2 linked regions of the Arabidopsis thaliana genome follow. The protein of the gene in region 1 interacts with the protein of each later gene in a pairwise test. Each region holds a gene or a part of one and is shown in the gene's direction. Other genes may lie near its edges. The genes, in order: AT1G68300 and AT1G11800.

Region 1 (3,649 bases):
TCAACCATCTCCACGAGGTTTGGATTCTCTAGTGCAGCCGCCACACGTTCTTTATCGTTTAGTTGTTTATTCACTGCATTTTAAACACCAAGAAACCAGACATCATGTTAAAGAAGTACACTCGATGTAAAGCAAAACATGCATACCAAAAAAGATGGATAGATATTGAAAAATGACATACATGCATCTTCTGTTGCATGAGAACCAGGTGCTACCCTTATATCAATCTGAAAAATGAAGATTCGTTTCAGAGGACTGAGGCACATAAAACATTGTGCGAGTGTGTTTTAAGGCAGTCCTAACTATATATAGTAGAGGCTAGGGCTATCTTCTCTTCGCAAGTATCAAGAACAGTTGATTAAGAATGAAAAATTAAAAAATTTCTCTGCCTCATATATCATCACAAGGAGAACATGTGTTGGATCTCAGTTACGTTCAAACCACTCTCGATAATGTATAAATCAGAAAATGGGCTCAGAAGATCATCTTGACAAACTTACAGGAAAAGGGAACCGGAAAATCTTAGAAATGAAATAACAAGAAAGCTTTGTACCTTGTATCGAGAAGGAAGGCTTCGTAGAAGTTTCACACGGACACAAAGACCGATAACGGTTGCCATGCTACAATGTTCGACAGTTGGAGTGAACGTAACCCTGAAAAGAAATGGTAGAGCTCAACAGATTGGCTCAAAGGAACACTAAAAATCCATAACAAAACGTTCAATCCCAACATTTTACCTAACATAACTGTTCTCATCATCCACTTCAACTGAGTCTTCTGTAACTACTCTGAGATCTTCCAGAGTATTAGGATGCTCTGGATCTTTGATATCTCTTATATGATTTGTGTATTGTTAAAGAAAACAACAGAAATAATCCAATATCATTCTGTATCAACTAAAACATAGATTCCATTTGTTCACAGATTACCAAACCGATACCACGCATAATTACAAGAAATTTAGCATTCGAGAACAAAAGATTCATAGGTAGGCTTTAAGCTAAGAAGCATGTCAAATGGTTCCAACACCTACTTCGAAAAGATATGCATATGAGAACAAAAGATTCATGACTTCTAATAGTGTAAAGAAGCAAACTTCAAGCTAAGAGGCATGTCAAGTTGTTCCAAAACCTATGCATACACTAGCTACTCTTAATTTCAGATGCTAATAGCTGTAAGACGATAATCACATCCTCACAATCACACACAATCAAACCAATTCACCAATTAAGGTTTGCAATTAGAGTAGTTCTAAGAAAACTTGATGAAGAAAGGATATCAAAAATCTCAAGTTGATCAATTGGTTCTGGTGTAAGCTCATCAGTAATGCTTGTATCAGTACGAAGACGCCTCTCTTTCTTTGGGTAAATGATAGGGTTCTCATTAATCAACCCAGATACCATTTTTCTTCTCCCTGCCAAAAATTGAGTTACAGAGACTCGTAAAGCACGAAACTTTTCAATCGGAAATTACAAAACCCTAAAAACCCTAAAATTCCCAGGGAAGAAGCAAGCAGCGAATTGAAAACTAAAGAAAGATACATACCGGAATCGAAAATCAATCAATCAGCAAAGTTTTAAGATTTAGTTCGATTAGAGAAGAAAGAGGCAAAGATTTTGCGATTTTGAGAAATTTGTAAGAAAATTTAAATTTACAGGAAAAGAAAAATCGGATATGGGCTTACGAGTACGTTAAGGATTTGAGGAGTAGGTCTGTGTAACCTCGCCGCCAATTTGGAATCCGATGAGCCAATAAGAACAACGAGGTTATAGGCTTTCTCTGGACCTGATACAAGAAACCCGAAATTGGATCAGGCCCATCGAATAATTCAAAATCTCCAGAAGAACCTCGTGCCTTCCTCTACACAATCGACACGTCATCATTCTGACTTTTCTCAAAGAAGAGAAATCAAATCACCAAGTCATCGGAGCGATCACAGAGAAGAAGAAAACCATGGCGGAAGAAGAGAAAAGCGTGATGAAGCAAGTGATGGTGGCGATTGATGAAAGCGAATGTAGTAAACGCGCTCTTCAATGGACGCTCGTGTATCTCAAAGATAGCCTCGCCGATTCCGACATCATCCTCTTCACTGCTCAACCTCATCTTGATCTCAGCTGCGTCTATGCTTCCTCTTATGGCGCCGCTCGTAAGTAATCTTCTTCATCGGATTCCGGCGATTTCATTTTGTTGATAATGGTTGGATTTTTTTGAAATTGAGTTTGAAAATTTTGGTCTTATGTGTTGTAGCGATTGAGCTTATAAACTCATTGCAAGAGAGTCATAAGAACGCTGGATTGAATCGTCTTGATGAAGGAACCAAAATTTGTGCTGAGACTGGGGTTTGACTTCACTTATATGAAATTAGTCAGATTCGTGTGTGTTTTGGAACTAATTGGTTTGGTTGTTGTGTATTAGGTTACTCCAAGAAAGGTGTTGGAATTTGGAAATCCTAAAGAAGCGATATGTGAAGCTGCTGAGAAGCTTGGTGTTGATATGCTTGTGGTTGGAAGCCATGGTAAAGGAGCATTACAAAGGTGTGTACTGCGTAGATTAAACTTTGATGGTTTTGGAGATGATAATGTGTCTTATGTTCTATGTGTGTGTGTGTGTATGGACAGGACTTTCCTTGGAAGTGTTAGCAATTACTGTGTTAACAATGCTAAGTGCCCAGTTCTTGTGGTGAGAACAAAAGCTTGAAGACCTCTTCTCATGAAAGAGTTCGAGAACCCTGGCTTGATGTGTGTGTGTTGTAAACATATTGATAATAATGCTCTGCTTGGTTACTATTGTTTGAAGAAACTTTGTGAGTAAACATAATTTATTTTGTTTGATAATGAAAGAGCATTGCCGTGTTCGGGGCTTGTGATTGCTATTTCCTTGTTTCAATAATGCAGTTTTTAATCTAATATGAAGACAGGCTTAGACCAATCATTATGCTGTAACTTCAGCTTCAACCGAAAATCCTGTTTAGGGTAGCTGCTAGTCTCACCCCTCCCTGTGCTAACCGCTGATACACTATCGGTAGACGTGAATAGAAGTATTCATCTGCGTAGAAGACATTATGTGTTTGTTAGCTTCTTTCTTTTGTCAATCATCATAGTTTTTTGGGTGGATTCTTTACCTTCTAGAGTGTCTCCTTCCGTTACCCCCTTGTATGCCCAGTCACAGGCTGCTTGAATTCCTTCGGATGCGTATCTAAAAAAGTTTACAGGGGGAAAGCAATTGGAAGTTAAATCTGCTTCTTGCTGGCATGAAGAAGAACCACTTCTATTCAAAGGTACTATTATCATACTTACATGTCTGGACATGCTGTCTTCTTTGTGCAGGTCTCCCATCTCTTAACTTGATCTGCCCATTCTGTCTGCATTTTATTAATACATGTCAGCAAGTCAGAAACACCTTGTAGCATACATGTAGAGAACAGTAGTTTTGTTGCATTAGTACCGTGATATTCTTTTTGAGTGCATCCACCATTCCTTCTAGTGCAGAGTTATAGAGATCTGCTTCAGCTGTTTCGATAATGTTGGAATCCCATATCTGTATGAATCTAAAGTTTAAAACTTTGTACTATCTGATGCTGAAATAATAGATGCGTTTCGCAGTTCTTACATGGTGGAGGTTAGCTTTTCTCGTGTACCAATGTACTTCG
Region 2 (4,491 bases), about 22 Mb from region 1:
AAGATATATAGAGTCACAGTCTCTTCATCACTAGAGTGAAACGGAAGAGGAAGACGCGGTCCAAACCTTTCTGATGTAAAATCAAAACAGAGTAAAAAAACAATACGATTTGAAACTGCATGGCTATCTGACTTCTTTTTGTGGAGCATAATAATAAGTATTTCCCTTCAAAGACACACCGTTGTTGTTGTTGTTGTTGTTGTTGTTTGTCGTAACCGAAAGCATACATGTCTAATCTGTGGAACTTATGGTATTTGCTTCTTGGTTGGATCCACCTGAATTCCCCTTAATAAGGGTTCCACACCATGAGCCTCCTTCTCCTTTTGTGTATGACGCATAACAATCAAGCCGTCACAGTGAAATATATTAGATATATCGTATTGATCAACTATATATATTTCCTTTAAAGATGGATCAACGAAATCGTTGTTGTGGATTCCTTGGAGATCAAGTCTCAGGGAACAAACCTTAGAATACATTACTACGAAACCTAGAAATTGCTTACTTGTATCTGCTTTAATTACCAAAAACATAATTTTCCGACAAAACGTTCCAGGATAAAGTGTTCCACGTTGTACAAGTACATTGCACTTCACTCAGAGATATCAATGGAACTCTAGAGAATATCTCTCCCACCAAATCTACTGAAAGATCGGACAAAGTCGTCATTATTTGTTCGTCTCCTTAAATGATGAAGTGAGAGACGACACTTGTATATTCTTTGCTAAGAACCGTCATTTGTGATCAAAGAACAACTTGACCAAATGATAGATACTTATTGTTCTGGTATTTACAACATTAAGAACTAATTACAACTTAATGAAGAACAGAACTTGCTGGTCTTTGTGTTAGTCTGACTGTAGACCATAAGTATTAGAGATCTTAACTCATTCATTGATCTGTAAATAATTCACAGAACTAACAACTCCTTATAAAGCAAACAAAAAAGGACCAATCCAAAAACTTGAACTTTTCCTACTATATACATCTTCAAAATTAGCTAACAAAAGAAATTAAAACTTCAAACAAGAAAAAGATCTAAGAACAAAAATATCAGTCTCAAAGATTGCTTGCGGTGTACGTCAAAGAGAGCCAGAAGAAGATATATTAGGTTCCAATCTCATACTTGAACCAACCTTGGTTTCAAGCTTTCATTAGTAATTTCGAGAGCGAGTCAAGGTTTGATCATCCAATGGGTGGCTTAGCGATTCCTTGTCCTGAAGATACCTACATCACTGCAAATCCAACATTTTGTTCTTCCGAGTTGAAAAATAGACTTACTCATTTTAAACGTAGGAGTTTTTCCCCCTCTTCTTCTTAAAGTTTGAAGATAGAATGACAGGTTTTTGCAATAGACATGATCATGTTCATGTCAATACATTTAGGATCGATCTTAGAAAAAGAAAGACAATAGACTAAAACTAGTCATCTAAATTTTATTGCCAAGAGATGTACTTCGAAAATGCTAGTATAGATTTTAGTCTCTTGACAATAAAATTTTGTATAAAATTTGTCTCCTAAATAGTATGTTTTTGTTTTTGTTGTATTCCCCAACAGCTAATTCTGTCTTCTGGTATATGGGTATACTTCGGTTAGTTTCGGTTTGATTACGGTTCACCTTTCAAATTTAAACATTGAAATTGTAAACCATCTTCTTTGTCCAAAACGATGTCGTATAATAATAACACGTAGCCGTTAAATGAAAACCGAAGCGTCAAAAAATCAAAATCGATAAAAACTAATTAGGGTAAATGTCAACAACAATCCGATTTCTGAGAATTGTCACAAGTCGAGCAATGTCGTCGTCTTGGTCCTGCAACAAATGTACTTTCCTCAATTCTGCGTCTCAGAAACTCAATTGCATGATCTGCTTGGCTCCTGTATCTCTCCCTTCTTTGTCTCCTCCTCCACCTTCTCTCTCAATTTCCGCGAACGATGAAGCTAAATGGGCTTGCAAGGCCTGTACTTTTTTGAACACGTACAAGAACTCAATCTGTGACGTCTGTGGAACACGATCGCCAACGTCTTCTCTCTTGGGATTTCAGGATTTGACTGATTCGGGTCTCGAGAGTAACGACGCTGATTCCTCCGTCGGGTCTGTTTTCTTTCCTCTGCGGCGGTGTATCAAGCGTAAAGCTATGGATGATGACGTCGTCGAGGTCGATGGTGCTTCTGTTGTTTGCTCTGAATCGCAAGGTGTCATGAAGAAGAACAAAGAGATTGAAACGAAAGGTCGGTTTTTTTCTACTCCCTAGGGTTTTAGGTCTTTGTGAATTTTGGTATACTCATTGTGGCTCATACCTTAGATATCAGTTTGAAAGACGAGACTTATTACTGTATGATTCCTGTTTCATCTAAAGCTTGTTATTGGTTTTTGATTACTGCTAAATTGTGTGAGTTTGATTTCCATTGTTCCTCAATGCAGAAGTCTTTACTTTTTTTGTCATTGTTTGGTTTTTGTAGGGGTAGCTTCTGATTCAGGAACACCTTTAACTTGCTTGAAGATCTTGAGCTACAATGTTTGGTTTCGTGAAGACCTTGAGTTGAATCTAAGGATGAGAGCGATTGGTCATCTTATTCAGCTTCATTCTCCTCATCTCATATGTTTTCAGGTCACTTTTACATTTTGCTATAGAATGATTTCTATCTGCAACATTTAGAAATAGCTCAGCTTTCTTGACAAGTGGTTTTTGTGTGGTTTGTAGGAAGTCACTCCTGAGATATATGATATTTTCCGCAAGTCGAATTGGTGGAAAGCGTATTCTTGTTCTGTCTCAGTTGATGTGGCAGTTTCGAGAGGCTACTACTGCATGCTGGTAAAGATTGTGCTTGCTTGGCTTAGGCTCTTGCCGTCTGTATCTGAATAATTCCCTGTGGTTCTTGTAACTGACCCTTATGTGTAATTTGCAGTTGAGCAAGTTGGGAGTGAAATCTTTCAGCAGCAAAAGCTTTGGGAACTCGATAATGGGAAGAGAACTATCTATCGCAGAAGTTGAAGTTCCAGGGAGAAAGCCACTTGTTTTTGCAACTAGCCATCTTGAGAGTCCCTGTCCAGGTCCTCCAAAATGGGACCAAATGTTCAGTCGAGAACGCGTTGAACAAGCCAAGGAGGCAATTGAGATTCTCAGACCTAATGCCAATGTGATATTCGGGGGAGACATGAACTGGTGCGACAAGCTAGATGGGAAGTTTCCTTTGCCAGACAAATGGGTGGATGTTTGGGAGGTTTTGAAACCAGGTGATTTGGGTTTTACATATGACACAAAAGCAAACCCAATGTTGTCCGGTAACCGGGCATTGCAGAAACGGTTAGACCGGATTTTGTGTCGTCTGGATGATTACAAGCTTGGTGGAATCGAGATGGTTGGGAAAGAGGCCATTCCTGGTTTATCATATGTAAAAGAGAAGAAAGTGAGGGGTGACATTAAGAAGTTAGAGCTTCCGGTGTTGCCTAGTGATCATTTCGGTCTGCTTGTAACCCTTTCGCCAAAATGAGATCAAACTATTCAGAGCTCGAAGTTAGTCTTCCTTAGTGAAGCTTTTGTGACTAGGTTAAAAAACTGTATGAAACACCAAATTTGGTGCGTAGGGTTTCTCTGTTTCGAACTGATGATAAACAGTTCTTGGTTTAAGTTTTTTTTGTTTTTTGGTTTGGGAACGGCCTTATTTCCTGATTCGAACTGAAAGATCAGTCTTATTGTTCAACAATGCCCCCACCTTTTGTAATGAAGATTCTGAAACTAATCACATATTAATATGATCGTTAAAAACCAGAGAGATTTTGGTATCAGAGGGTTTTGCATCAAACAACCTTATTCATTGATATTAACTGAAAAAACTTGTTTAATGTACAGAACATATTCTTAACAAAATGCTACATCAATTGTATCTGTCTCAACAATGAAGAGTTTGAAGCTAAAGTTCTAAAATGAGAAAATGGTGAAAGAAGATTCTTGAAGTATACCAAAGCCACAAACCCTGTTCTTCTGTTTGGGTATATTCACATGTTCTTCACGGTATGGTAACATGAAATCAATTGAAGAGTTGCTCGGTTATCTGACTAGATCCATTGGATAACACCCGAGGATACGGATGAAACTTGCGAATTCCTGCAAAACCAGAAGGTAAGATCTTTAGAATTGGTGAGCCTTAAGACCAGCTATAAAAGCTCTGGGGTTACAAGATTGAGACCTGTAGATGGCCAAGAGCGTGCTGAGCACGTGTATCAGCCATGGAGGCTTCAAAATCAATGTAGAATAAGTAATCAAAGTACCTGTCATCATCACAAAACAATCACTCAACTACTTTGTCAAAAAAGATGTCTGCATGTTGTGTGTTAGAAATCTACTTACTTAGCGCTTCCATTGTTAGAACCATCAACTACTCTTAACGGTCTTCTTCTCTGCGGACGACTTTCTATCTAAAGAAGAGCAAAAGTTACGTCATATATTTCTATTTTTGGAATGAATTACTGATAATAGGATCCAACTT

What was found.
Region 2: the proteins of AT1G68300 (region 1) and AT1G11800 interact in a two-hybrid assay, tested with the Arabidopsis thaliana proteins (one large-scale study listed by BioGRID).

What each region holds. Positions count from the first base shown.
Region 1 is NC_003070.9:25,597,566-25,601,214, reverse strand, and holds AT1G68300 (Adenine nucleotide alpha hydrolases-like superfamily protein), read left to right. Parts: upstream 1-1,864; 5' UTR 1,865-1,953; coding exon 1,954-2,146; intron 2,147-2,247; coding exon 2,248-2,339; intron 2,340-2,415; coding exon 2,416-2,534; intron 2,535-2,618; coding exon 2,619-2,697; 3' UTR 2,698-2,884; downstream 2,885-3,649. Other genes in the region: AE7 (MIP18 family protein (DUF59)), read right to left, coding at 1-73, 182-227, 554-653, 738-831, 1,262-1,403; ENDO2 (endonuclease 2), read right to left, coding at 2,951-3,045, 3,122-3,195, 3,297-3,361, 3,445-3,537, 3,610-3,649.
Region 2 is NC_003070.9:3,984,524-3,989,014, reverse strand, and holds AT1G11800 (endonuclease/exonuclease/phosphatase family protein), read left to right. Parts: upstream 1-1,724; 5' UTR 1,725-1,751; coding exon 1,752-2,232; intron 2,233-2,463; coding exon 2,464-2,612; intron 2,613-2,705; coding exon 2,706-2,816; intron 2,817-2,910; coding exon 2,911-3,495; 3' UTR 3,496-3,831; downstream 3,832-4,491. Other genes in the region: ADT1 (arogenate dehydratase 1), read right to left, coding at 4,053-4,109, 4,192-4,273, 4,353-4,420.